Macaca mulatta: one gene and its partners. The protein of the gene in region 1 binds, or shares a complex with, the protein of each later gene. Links are inferred from orthologs where the notes say so. Each region holds a gene or a part of one and is shown in the gene's direction. Other genes may lie near its edges.

What was found.
Region 2: the proteins of BCCIP (region 1) and TENT5A are in contact, whole or in part, in a crystal structure (PDB 8EXE), measured with the Homo sapiens proteins. The link is inferred for Macaca mulatta from reciprocal best matches to the Homo sapiens genes BCCIP and TENT5A. Residues at the interface, in NP_510868.1 of Homo sapiens: Val57, Asn58, Ile59, Glu60, Phe61, Glu62, Ala63, Tyr64, Ser65, Leu66, Gln146, Val149, Leu150, Phe152, Cys153, Glu154, Lys155, Asn156, Cys157, Glu158, Lys159, Glu163, Lys167, Leu203, Ala204, Ala206, Thr225; in NP_060103.2 of Homo sapiens: Arg87, Gly88, Asp139, Glu151, Gln155, Lys158, Lys184, Glu185, Val188, Gln189, Lys190, Met191, Val192, Lys193, Val194, Cys195, Asn196, Asp199, Trp201, Asn213, Arg289, Lys295, Glu331, Arg334, Gln341, Asn342, His343.
Region 3: the proteins of BCCIP (region 1) and TENT5C are in contact, whole or in part, in a cryo-EM structure (PDB 8EQB), measured with the Homo sapiens proteins. The link is inferred for Macaca mulatta from reciprocal best matches to the Homo sapiens genes BCCIP and TENT5C. Residues at the interface, in NP_510868.1 of Homo sapiens: Val57, Asn58, Ile59, Glu60, Phe61, Glu62, Ala63, Tyr64, Ser65, Arg136, Gln146, Cys153, Lys155, Ala204, Gly205; in NP_060179.2 of Homo sapiens: Asp90, Asp92, Glu102, Gln106, Arg109, Lys135, Glu136, Val139, Gln140, Lys141, Leu142, Val143, Lys144, Val145, Cys146, Thr147, Asn164.

Annotation. Positions count from the first base shown.
Region 1 is NC_133414.1:137,881,714-137,885,360, forward strand, and holds part of BCCIP (BRCA2 and CDKN1A-interacting protein), read left to right. Parts: intron 1-136; coding exon 137-211; intron 212-1,099; coding exon 1,100-1,180; intron 1,181-3,647. UniProt on the Homo sapiens protein: During interphase, required for microtubule organizing and anchoring activities. During mitosis, required for the organization and stabilization of the spindle pole.
Region 2 is NC_133409.1:104,076,844-104,080,957, forward strand, and holds the start of TENT5A (terminal nucleotidyltransferase 5A), read left to right. Parts: upstream 1-1,169; 5' UTR 1,170-1,456; coding exon 1,457-1,476; intron 1,477-1,656; coding exon 1,657-2,275; intron 2,276-3,403; coding exon 3,404-4,114.
Region 3 is NC_133406.1:122,654,839-122,658,485, reverse strand, and holds part of TENT5C (terminal nucleotidyltransferase 5C), read left to right. Parts: intron 1-3,269; 5' UTR 3,270-3,296; coding exon 3,297-3,647. UniProt on the Homo sapiens protein: Catalyzes the transfer of one adenosine molecule from an ATP to an mRNA poly(A) tail bearing a 3'-OH terminal group and enhances mRNA stability and gene expression.

The DNA of each region.
Region 1 (3,647 bases):
TTTTGTGTCACATGAAGAAAGAGTGTGAAGGTGCTTTGTATTCTCTACAGATGGCAATCTTGTCAATGTTTGCCTATTTTAAAGTCTAGATGTTTGTAGTTTTTCTGGTAACAACTATTTTGTGTGTTATTTGCAGGAAGTGAATATTGAATTTGAAGCTTATTCCCTATCAGATAATGATTATGACGGAATTAAGAAATTACTGCAGCAGGTATTGTCTTTTATTTATTATGCATAAATTTTCTCTTCTAAGAAAAATCGGGCTGGGTGCAGTGGTTCATGCCTATAATCTCAGCATTTTGGAAGGCCAAGGTGAGAGGATCACTTGAGCCCAGGAGTTTGAGACCAGCCTGGACAACATAATGAGAACCTGTCTCTACAAAAAAATAAAAAATTAGCCAACTGAGGTAGCACACACCTTTAGTCCTAACTCCTAAGGAGGCTGAGGCCAGAGGATTACTTGAGTCTAGGAGCTCAAGGCTGCAGTGAGCTATGAATGCACCACTGAGCTCCAGTCTGGGCAACAGAGCAAGCCTCTGTCTCTTAAAAAAAAAAAGATTCAGGTCATTCAATACAGGCTTTCTCAAATTCAAATTTGTAGAATTTCCATTTCTGTCCTCTCTACCTTGCTTGGAAGATAGAATTATTTCCTTTCATCTGCTAATTAGTTGAGCTATTTTTTTTTTTTTTAAATTCACAATTCTTATGTAACAGTCATATAACTGTGCTGTTTGGTGCTATAAAATTGATGCTTGCTGCTTCTCCTTATTCTTTTACTCATATAATATGACTCTGGTTCTTTAACCTTTATAGCCTCTACTGTCCTTTTCACCAAATTCTTTGGCCTTATGTTTATCCTCTCTTCTCCCTTTTTTCCTCCCCCTCCCCCATTACTTCTGTATTACCACTGACTGCTTTTCTGAAATTTCATAATCTTTAGCTTCTTTGACTCTCCTGGGCTTTTCTTTCCCTCTTGGGATTGCTTTTCTAGGTCATCTTCTTAAGTCACAGAAATTTCGTTATTTGTATTTGAATATAGGATTTGAAGTTATTAGAAATCATGCTTTGATCTTAATTTAAAATTTTTTCCTCCTTTTAGCTTTTTCTAAAGGCTCCTGTGAACACTGCAGAACTAACAGATCTCTTAATTCAACAGAACCATATTGGGAGTGTGATTAAGGTAAGCAGGACAATTGTGTTTATTCTGATTAAATTAGTTCTTTATTCTGTTCATGCTGGGCATCACCATGCTTGTAATCCTAGCACTTTGGGAAGCAAAGGTGGGAGAATTGCTTGAGGCCAGGAGTTCAAGACCATCCTGGGCAACATAGCAATACTCTGTCTCTACAAAAAATAACAAAAAATTAGCCGGGCATAGTGGCACCTGCCTATAGTCTTTTTACCCAGGTGGCTGAGGTAGGAGGATCTCTTCAGCCAAGGAGTTGAAGGCTGTGATGAGCTTTGATTGTGCCACTGCACTCTAGCCTGGCAACACAGCAAGACCCTATATCTGGGGTGGGTGGGGGAAGAGTTCTTATTCTGTTTAGCTCAAATTGGAAGCAGGACTACTGGAGGAAGGGAGACTGATCAGAAGTCATTGCAGAAATCCAAGCTTATTAAATGCAGTAGGCCAGGTGGTGGCAATGGAGAGGGAGAGAAGTGGGCTCATTTAGAATATATTTGGGAGATGAAATATGATGGGGTTTAGTCCCTGATTGGGTCTGAAAGTGAGAGGAAAAGGAGTCAAGGATGACTTCCAGGTTTCTAGCTTGAGCAAACAGGATAACAAACATGGAAGAAGGCCAGGTTAGGAGGGGGAATGTGAGTTTGGGTTTGTACATTTTGCGTTTGAGTTACCTGTGAGATACCGGGTAGCGGGTGGAGCCCTGGAGACTTGGGAGTTTGTCGTAAATGTTATTGAAGTCATAGAAGTGATTGAGATTGCGCAGGGAGGGAAGGGACAGACACCTTAGTAATACCAAGAATACTTGGATATCCGAGTATTGTAAGTGGCAGAGCCAGCAAAGGAGATTAAAAGGGATGACAGGAGAAGTACAAGAAACAACAGTGCAGTGATGTCATACATGGCAAGAAAGACAACATTTGAAGGAGGAGGGGATGGTCATCCTTATCAGATAGATGTTGTAGAGAGCTCAACAAAATAGGACTGGTTTGGACCCTGGCTCTGCTGCTTATCATCTGGTGGTTCTTTGGGTTGTCTGTTGTTTGTATAACAAACCACTTCATAGCTTAGTGTTGTAAAATAGCAACACTCATGTATTTGGCTCATGGATCTACAGTTTGGACAGAGCTCAGTGGGCACAAGTCATCTCTGCTCCTGCTCCATCATGTTAACTGGGGAGGCTCGACTAGGGGCTGGAGGATTCCCTTTCAAGATGGCTCACTCACATGACTGGCAAGTTAGCCCTAGCTGTCTGTTGTGAGCTTAGCTGGGACTCTGGACCAGGGGCCTTAGTTCTTGTCCATGTGGGCCTTGCCACATATTGGGTTGCTTCCAAGAGCAAGCAGCCCAAAAGAAGCAGGCAGAAGTGGTGATATAGTGCCATTTCCACCATTTGCTTAGTCAGTACAGATACAAATTTCTACCCAGGGGGAGGCCACATTGATTCCACCACTCCATGAGAAAAGTATCTAGGTCACTTTGTCAGAAGAGCATGTCCAAGAAGAGATCCACTGGGGCCATCTGCGAAAGATACAATCTGCCACAGTACCTTAATCTATTTCCATTTCTAGCTCTGAAAATGAGGATGATACTAGCACCTATCTTGTAGAGTGCATGGGTAAACAAAATGAGTTGCTGATTGCTTAGAACAGTGCCTGGCAACTGACAAGTGCTACATATGTGTAGCTGTCACTGTTGATGTCTTTTTCCTGTTCCCAGCACCTGTTCCCTAGCCTGTTGTGAAAAAGACAACAAAAGTTCCATTCAGTCTAATGTTCCACTCAAAGTACATCACCTTCAGAGCCAAAATTCTTGAAAAGTAATCTTAAGTCATGGTTTCTACTTCCTGTCCTCCTATTCATTCTTCAGACATTCTTATCTGACTTTTACACAACTAAAATTCTGACACTGAATGATAGGGTCACCAACATACTTGTTACTAAATGCAGTGTCCACTTTTCAAGGCTTCTGACAATATTAGTAACCTTATGGCACTCAATGTAAAGAAAATGAGAAATTAAACCTACAGGGGCTTCCTTTTATTAGGGCAATGGGAAAAAGCAGACCACCTGCCCTTTCATCAAATAAATGTGATTTCTAGCTGATTCGTGTCTTAGAAGACACTTAGAAGACCTAATGGATATGGAGAAGCAGCAGTTATTTTTATCCTTGAAAGAGGTTATCTAATGGCAGGATTCACCCTTTAAATGGATAATTACATCGATAGCTCTGCAGTTATAACTGGCTTCTTTGGCTTCTCCAGAGACACCTGAGGTGTCCTGAGGATAGAGACTTCTTGTTCTTAGTAAAGGGACTACCCACAGCATTCAGTGGAGCCAGTCCCTAGGATCATAGAACAAAGGGCAGGGGGGTTCTCTTTTATCCCTTCTCTCTTGCCCATGTGGTAGGTATAAGTGGCCCTCAGGCACTGCCCAGCTTCACTTATGGTCAAGATTGACAAGTG
Region 2 (4,114 bases), on another chromosome or scaffold:
GTCCCCAGCAGCGTCTAGGCGCTGGGAAAGCTGCTCTGGCATAGTTGATGGAGGCAGAGAGCTGCCGAAGAGAGGGCCACAGTTTCTAGCAAAGACAGCGGTGGGCGGCGCGAGTGAGCGTGGGGAGAATTAGCTCTGCCGAATTCACCGAAACTGGATGGGATAATTCATTTTATTCTTGAAACTCCTATTTTACATCTCGTGGGAAACCAAATCGTATTCCACTACACTATGATGCACTTAAAATGGCCAAACCTTAGTGGGACGCGAGGAACGCGCTTGGCTGCCAATTTTCTGTGCGAGAACTGAGAACTCGCAGCAAAGGCACCCGACACCTAGCGGCCCTTCCCCTGGACTCGGAGGCAGCACTCACTCCCGGGGCGCGCTGTCCGCGGGGCACTGGGCCCGCCCAGTCCTCGGCGATTGGTTGCTCGCCCGCGTCTGCTCCGTGACGCACCTTGGCCCCCGAGACACACCGGCCCCTTGGAGCCACTCGTGCGCAAGAGCCGCACACGCCCGAGGCCCGTGGTGCCGCCCCCGCGCCTTCTCCGGCTGGCCCGGAGCTCCCCGGCGTGCTTCCCGAGGTTTCGAGAATCGAAACCCAGTTATCAACAAGCCCTTCCCACTCACGCGCCGTGACTGATTTGCGTGCACGAGTGAACTCATGAGTCCACGCTTGGACCAGGTTTATCAATGGAGTAAATGGTCTAGACACCGAGGTTTAAAAGAGCAGTAGTGAGGAACCTCCGGAGGCCAACAGTGGGAATCTCATGAAGGGCTGTATCCGCGAGAATTTTGGGAAGTTTCTGCAGTTGCAGGATTTTAGTCGCGATCTGGTTTTGATGATCAGTTATGATTCCTGGGGCATTTTAAGTGTCTCCTCCTGGGGAAAATGAAAAGAGATTTGTGGGAGGGGGCGTACATAAATGTATGTATAAATATATGAATCTACCGGCGCGCACAGTATCGGCACATACAGCCCAGCGCCTCGCGCTCACCGGCCGTCGTCCAGCACCAGCTGCTGGGCTAGTCCGCTGCGTGCCCTGCGGGAGGGGGCGGGCAGGGGGCGGCGCCCTATGCAGATGAGGAGGGTGTGGCGAGCGTGCCGCTCCGGGCCCCGGAAGCGCAGAGAAGCCCAGTATAAAAAAAGTACTGAAGACATTTTCCCCGCACAACTGCTAAAGCTCCAGAGACACGAGCGTGTGTGGCAGCAAGAGCCGCCACCTTCAGGACCACCGCAGCTGGGGTGGCAGCGGCGCGGGAGGGGGCGCGGGGAGGGAGTGGTGAGCGCAGGCGGCAGGGGTCTGGGAAAGACGAAGTCGCTAGTCGCTGTCGGAGCGCACTCGCAGCTCCTGGAAGTGTTGCCGCCTCGCGGTTTCTCTCTCGCTCGCTTCGCTCCTAGAAGGGGCGGCCGCCTCCAGGTGACACAGACGGGACTCTCGCTTGCGCTTTCCAGATGCATCAGAGATATTTTTGGTGCGGGGCTGCTCTGCGTGGGGCGGTGCGCGGCTGGGGACTGTAAGGGCCGGGGGAGGTAGAGTCTCCGAGGAGGCCTGGGGCCAGGGAACTATCGGGGGAGGGGGCGCTCTTTTCCTGGTTGGCCTCTGCCCTCCGCCGCCGCGCGTCCTCACCGCGCTCCTTTCCCTTTCCTTTTAGGACTGACCAGGGCCAAGTGGCGCTCGGCGGGCACTACATGGCGGAGGGCGAAGGGTACTTTGCCATGGCCGAGGACGAGCTGGCCTGCGGCCCCTACATCCCCCTAGGCGGCGACTTCGGCGGCGGCGACTTCGGCGGCGGCGACTTCGGCGGCGGCGACTTCGGCGGCGGCGACTTCGGCGGCGGCGACTTCGGCGGCGGCGGCAGCTTCGGTGGGCACTGCTTGGACTATTGCGAAAGCCCCACGGCGCACTGCAATGTGCTGAACTGGGAGCAAGTGCAGCGGCTGGACGGCATCCTGAGCGAGACCATTCCGATCCACGGGCGCGGCAACTTCCCCACGCTCGAGCTGCAGCCGAGCCTGATCGTGAAGGTGGTGCGGCGGCGCCTGGCCGAGAAGCGCATCGGCGTCCGCGACGTGCGCCTCAACGGCTCGGCCGCCAGCCACGTCCTGCACCAGGACAGCGGCCTGGGCTACAAGGACCTGGACCTCATCTTCTGCGCCGACCTGCGCGGGGAAGGGGAGTTTCAGACTGTGAAAGACGTCGTGCTGGACTGCCTGTTGGACTTCTTACCCGAGGGGGTGAACAAAGAGAAGATCACACCACTCACGCTCAAGGTAACACCACCCGAGATGCACTTGGGCCCTGACCCAGACTGGACCGGGTGTTATGGGGAGCGGGCAGAGGGGCGTCGGTTACATGCCATGAATCTGTGGCCATCACGAGTTTGGGCGCGCGTATTTCTTTGATTTTTGATTTTTAAAATGAGTAAACTGACGTGCGTGGACGGTGTTGTGTGTTTCCGTTTACTTGATGCTTTGGCGCTGCAACTCTTCTCCCAGGTCTCCCCTGCCCTCCCTTCTCTTCTTTCTCCTTATATTTTAACTCTTGGCTTTCCCTGTTGGAGTCTTGTCCAGAGTAGATTCTGATACTTGGCAGAATGAAATAATGTAAATAATTTTTTGAGACATTGTATGATCTAGTCTTTGGGAAAATGACAGCCTGAAGCAGAAGTGAGTCAATGAGTTTTTTCTTGTACTGGAAAAGGTGAATAGATTTCACAGCGGCATTCAGTTGACTCCGTGTTAAAGGTCTGTCTGGTGGTTCTCCGTGCTGGTTCATATGTTAAGGGTATAGTGGCACCCCCTCCCTACCCTCCACTTTAGTTCAAGACGGGTTTTTTATGATTAGTTAAAATTGTCTGAGGTGGCAGGGTCCCAGAATGTCATAATTTAGTTTATATATTTGATTGTAACTGCAGAGTGCCCCTGGAGGGACACAAGATACTGATAACATTGATTGCCGCAGGCGGAGAGGAGAGGAATTGGGTGGCTTGGAACAAGGGTGAGGCTGACTAACCTACCGCTGAATGCCCTTCCGAGTCTTTTGAATGTTGTTTGGATCTGTGTGAATATTGTGCCTATTAGACCATTTTCAAAAAGTAACACTTAAAAAGTCAGACATGACAACAGAACCTCTTACTACTGTGTTACGTCTGCCAAAAGCCTCAAACTATTACCTCTAGTCCCTTTCCCAGACAGTAAAACTACTCGTTAAAAGTATTTTTTTTTTTTTCTATTTTCAGAAGAACGTTTAAGCCTGTAGGTAGTGTTTGGCTGAAACTTGACAAAACAAAAGGGAAAGAGCAAAATAATTCTCAGCTGTGAAGAGGATGTATTTATTTATTTATTATTTATTTATTATTTTCTAGGTTTGCTCATTTTGTTTTATCTTTTAAATTGTAGGAAGCTTATGTGCAGAAAATGGTTAAAGTGTGCAATGACTCTGACCGATGGAGTCTTATATCCCTGTCAAACAACAGTGGCAAAAATGTGGAACTGAAATTTGTGGATTCCCTCCGGAGGCAGTTTGAATTCAGTGTAGATTCTTTTCAAATCAAATTAGACTCTCTTCTGCTCTTTTACGAATGTTCAGAGAACCCAATGACTGAGACATTTCACCCTACAATAATTGGGGAGAGCGTCTATGGCGATTTCCAGGAAGCCTTTGATCACCTTTGTAACAAGATAATTGCCACCAGGAACCCAGAGGAAATCCGAGGGGGAGGCCTACTTAAGTACTGCAACCTCTTGGTGAGGGGCTTTAGGCCCGCCTCTGATGAGATCAAGACCCTTCAGAGGTATATGTGTTCCAGGTTTTTCATCGACTTCTCAGACATTGGAGAGCAGCAGAGAAAACTGGAGTCCTATTTGCAGAACCACTTTGTGGGATTGGAAGACCGCAAGTATGAATATCTCATGACCCTTCATGGAGTGGTGAATGAGAGCACGGTGTGCCTGATGGGACATGAAAGAAGACAGACTTTAAACCTTATCACCATGCTGGCTATCCGGGTGTTAGCTGACCAAAATGTCATTCCTAATGTGGCTAATGTCACTTGCTATTACCAGCCAGCCCCCTATGTAGCAGATGCCAACTTTAGCAATTACTACATT
Region 3 (3,647 bases), on another chromosome or scaffold:
GTGTTTTTGAATTATATAGTCAAATATAGCCATTTTTGAGGCTTTTAGGTTTTACGTGACTTATAAAAAAAAAAAAAAAAAACTACCCACTGTGTGTAAGTATATATAAACGCATTTTCCCCTCAGTACTCTTAGAATTTCATGCTTTTACATTCAGTCTTTGATCTGTCCAATCTCGATCTTAGTTTGGCATGAAATAGGGAGCCCCTTTTATTTTTTTCTTTTTGATAATTTAGATAACCATCCAGATGTTTTTCTTCACTTTACTATTCTAAAATGCCTCCTTTAATTATATACTAAATCCCTTTACATATCTGATTTTATTTCTAGATTTAAAAAATTTTGTTCCATTGATTTGTCTTTTTGGGCCAATAACATGCCATTTCAATTATTGTGGTTTTGTGATATCTGTTACAGGCTAGTATGTATCATTCCTATTTTTCACAATGTTTTCTGGCTATTTCTGCCTCTCCTACCATATGAACCTTACAAATTCTGTCTAAAACAAATTCTAACTTTGAGTCTACTAGAAGTTCACATACTTTAAAATATATGAAAATTCTCAACCTGGTGTACTTCCCCCCACTAAAAAAAAAGGCTCATAGCTTCCAGACTATCACCAGTCTCAGATGTCCCTCCTCTAATGTTCAGAACCACGGTTCTAGCATAGGCGTAGTCCTGACTTTAATCCTACAAGTCGTCTTTTTGAAGAACTCCTTAAAAAAAGACTTGAGTCAGAATGTATTCCTATAGTTATTCTCCTCTGTAACATTATTGAGGTTCTGGCTGGAGATTTAAAAAAAAAATTGTTGCTTGTATCTCAAGTACTGATTGCATTACAGCCTCTGGTTGCCGTGTGACTTCTCATGCCTGTGTCATAAAGATGAGCCTTGAAAGCATAACAGGTGATTCACAGTAGCAAGTGAGTTGTATTTCTTTAGGTAGACCAACGTACCTGAAATCTATAAAACCCATGCCACCAAATCATAGTCTAGCTGTGGTCACAGTAAAGCCAGTGCCATAACTTTCTGTAATTATTTGAACTTAATTGTGTAGCTCAGGGTTCTCCATCCCCCAGACCACGGGGCAGTACCAGTCCGTGGCCTGTTAGGAACTGGGCAGCACAGCAGGAGATGAGTGGCAGGTGAGCGAGCATTACCACCGCAGTTCTGCCTCCTGTCAGATCAGCAGCACATTAGATGCTCATAGGAGTGTGAACCCTAGTATGAACTGAGCATGTGAGGGATCTACGTTGTGCCCTCCTTATGAAACTCTAATGCCTGATGATCTGAGGGTGAAACAGGAACAGGTTCATGCTGCAACTCTCAACCCCCACTTCCACGTCCGTGGAAAAGTTGTCTTCCACAAAACTGGTCCCTGATACGAAAAAGGCTGGGGACCACTGGTGTGGCACATACAGTGGACACAAATGTACTGTGTGCTAATCATGGGAGACCACAAAGAACTGCTAAGTGTTTAAAGGATATGGCAAAAAGAGAACTCTACTATCCCAAATCTGCCTTGAAACCAAATGCCAGTCACATTATTCATCACAGATTTTGCTTGGGATCCATAACCTACGAGTGCTTTGTAAGATGATCTAGATAGCCTAGGACTTTTTAATGCTGTTCAGAGACACTTTTGTCTTCCCCTCCACGAGTACTCTGTAGCAAGCAATAGAGCACTCATCCCCAGAGAGGTCCTGCAGATCCTGCTGTGATCACATACTCAGCCCACTGCTTTCTGCCTCTTGGCCCCAACCAAGAGCTCATGTTCTCTTTCTGTTGGCTTGTGTCCCCTCTCTATAAGTGAACTCTGTGGCCTTCCTCTTCACCCCAACCAGGGACACCCTTTCTTCTACTTTTATATTACATTTAATTTCTACTACTAGAGTTGTCTACACCACACACTGCCTCGTATTGATACCTCATATTTTCACTACCTTCTTGATGGGAGAGCCTGAAGAGCTCATCTTCATGTACCTAGCAATGCCCTGACAACCAAGTAACAATCATAGGGGATCCCTGGCACCGGTGCAAGGCCAGAAATCCATGTTGGAACCCTAGGAGAATGCATGCCGACGTGTGTTCAGACACAGCAGCTTCCAAACAATGAAACTGCAGAAGTCATTGGGATGGGTTTTGTGTGTGTCTAGCAAGTCAGAAAGGCGGAGGGGGTGGGAAAACTGTTCACAGTGAAATCTGAGGACAGCACCTTGACTCTTTGTTTTGGGTTTTACATCCATCTAGCAAATATTCGACTCGTGGCTCTACAGGCACCTTGACATTTTAATATATGAGTATTTGCTTTTATATATTAGGATTTCCAGGGATCCATTGTGTTTTATTTTTTGATAAGTATAACGTAGCTGAAAATTACTTGGGAAACTTTGTGGTCCTAGCAGATGAAGTGGTGGTTTTCTCCTAGTACTCAGTGCCAACTTTATTCTCCTCGGGTAGCTTTAACGTACTATTTTTTTTTCCCAAGTCCACTTAAAGGTACACACTGCCCTGAGGAAGTTGGCCATGTCCTGTGTCGGGCATCCATCCTAGGAAGAGTGGTTCCACCACATAGGTGACCTAACCTTTTGTTGACTAGAAATTTCGTCGTAAAAACAACTCCTTGCTTCTACCCTAGATGACAAGTACTTGTTAGGACAGACTTCTCCTGTCATGAGAATTTTGCTAAAGGAACATGCTTTATTCCAGTAGAAGGGGTTGGACTCCCACTTATTGGTGAGATGGTAGCCCAAAGTTGAGAATTCATCTACTTGTGGAGTGAAGGAAGTCATGTGTGTGTGTGTGTGTGTGTGTGTGTGTATTGTATATTCTGTGTGTGAGTGTTGTAGCCTAGGTGTCAAACAGGTCAAGATGTGGTTAGGGAGCCAGAAAGCTGGAGAAGTAACTAATTCTTCTGCGGTCCTATACGGTTTGCTAACATTCTGTTTTCAGCACATTCGAAACACACTCTGTCTCAGCACACTCCACCCTCACCCAGAAAAAACAAGCAAAACAACACAACCCCAAACAAAACAAAACTATGAAGTAATCTAAAGTAATATGGAATGAGTTTGTGTGTTTTTGTCCTTCTCTGCGGAGTCACTGTTTTTTACATATTTAACTCATTGAGTCCTCACAGCAACACTGAGCAGTAAGTGCTATTTATCACCATTTTATAGGAAGATGTTCAGAGATTAAATAATGAGTTCCTTGAGCTGCTTTGCCATGTAGAAGCGAATCCTAACTCTGTTTCTCACCCCTCACTTTCAGTTTCCCCAGCCAGAACATCCCCCGAAGATGGCAGAGGAGAGCAGCTGTACCAGGGACTGCATGTCCTTCAGCGTGCTCAACTGGGATCAGGTTAGCCGGCTGCACGAGGTCCTGACTGAGGTTGTACCTATCCACGGACGAGGCAACTTTCCAACCTTGGAGATAACTCTGAAGGACATCGTCCAGACCGTCCGCAGTCGGCTGGAAGAGGCAGGCATCAAAGTGCAGGACGTCCGGCTGAATGGCTCTGCAGCTGGCCACGTTTTGGTCAAAGACAATGGCTTGGGCTGCAAAGACCTGGACCTAATCTTCCATGTGGCTCTTCCAACAGAGGCAGAATTTCAGCTGGTTAGAGATGTGGTTCTGTGTTCCCTTCTG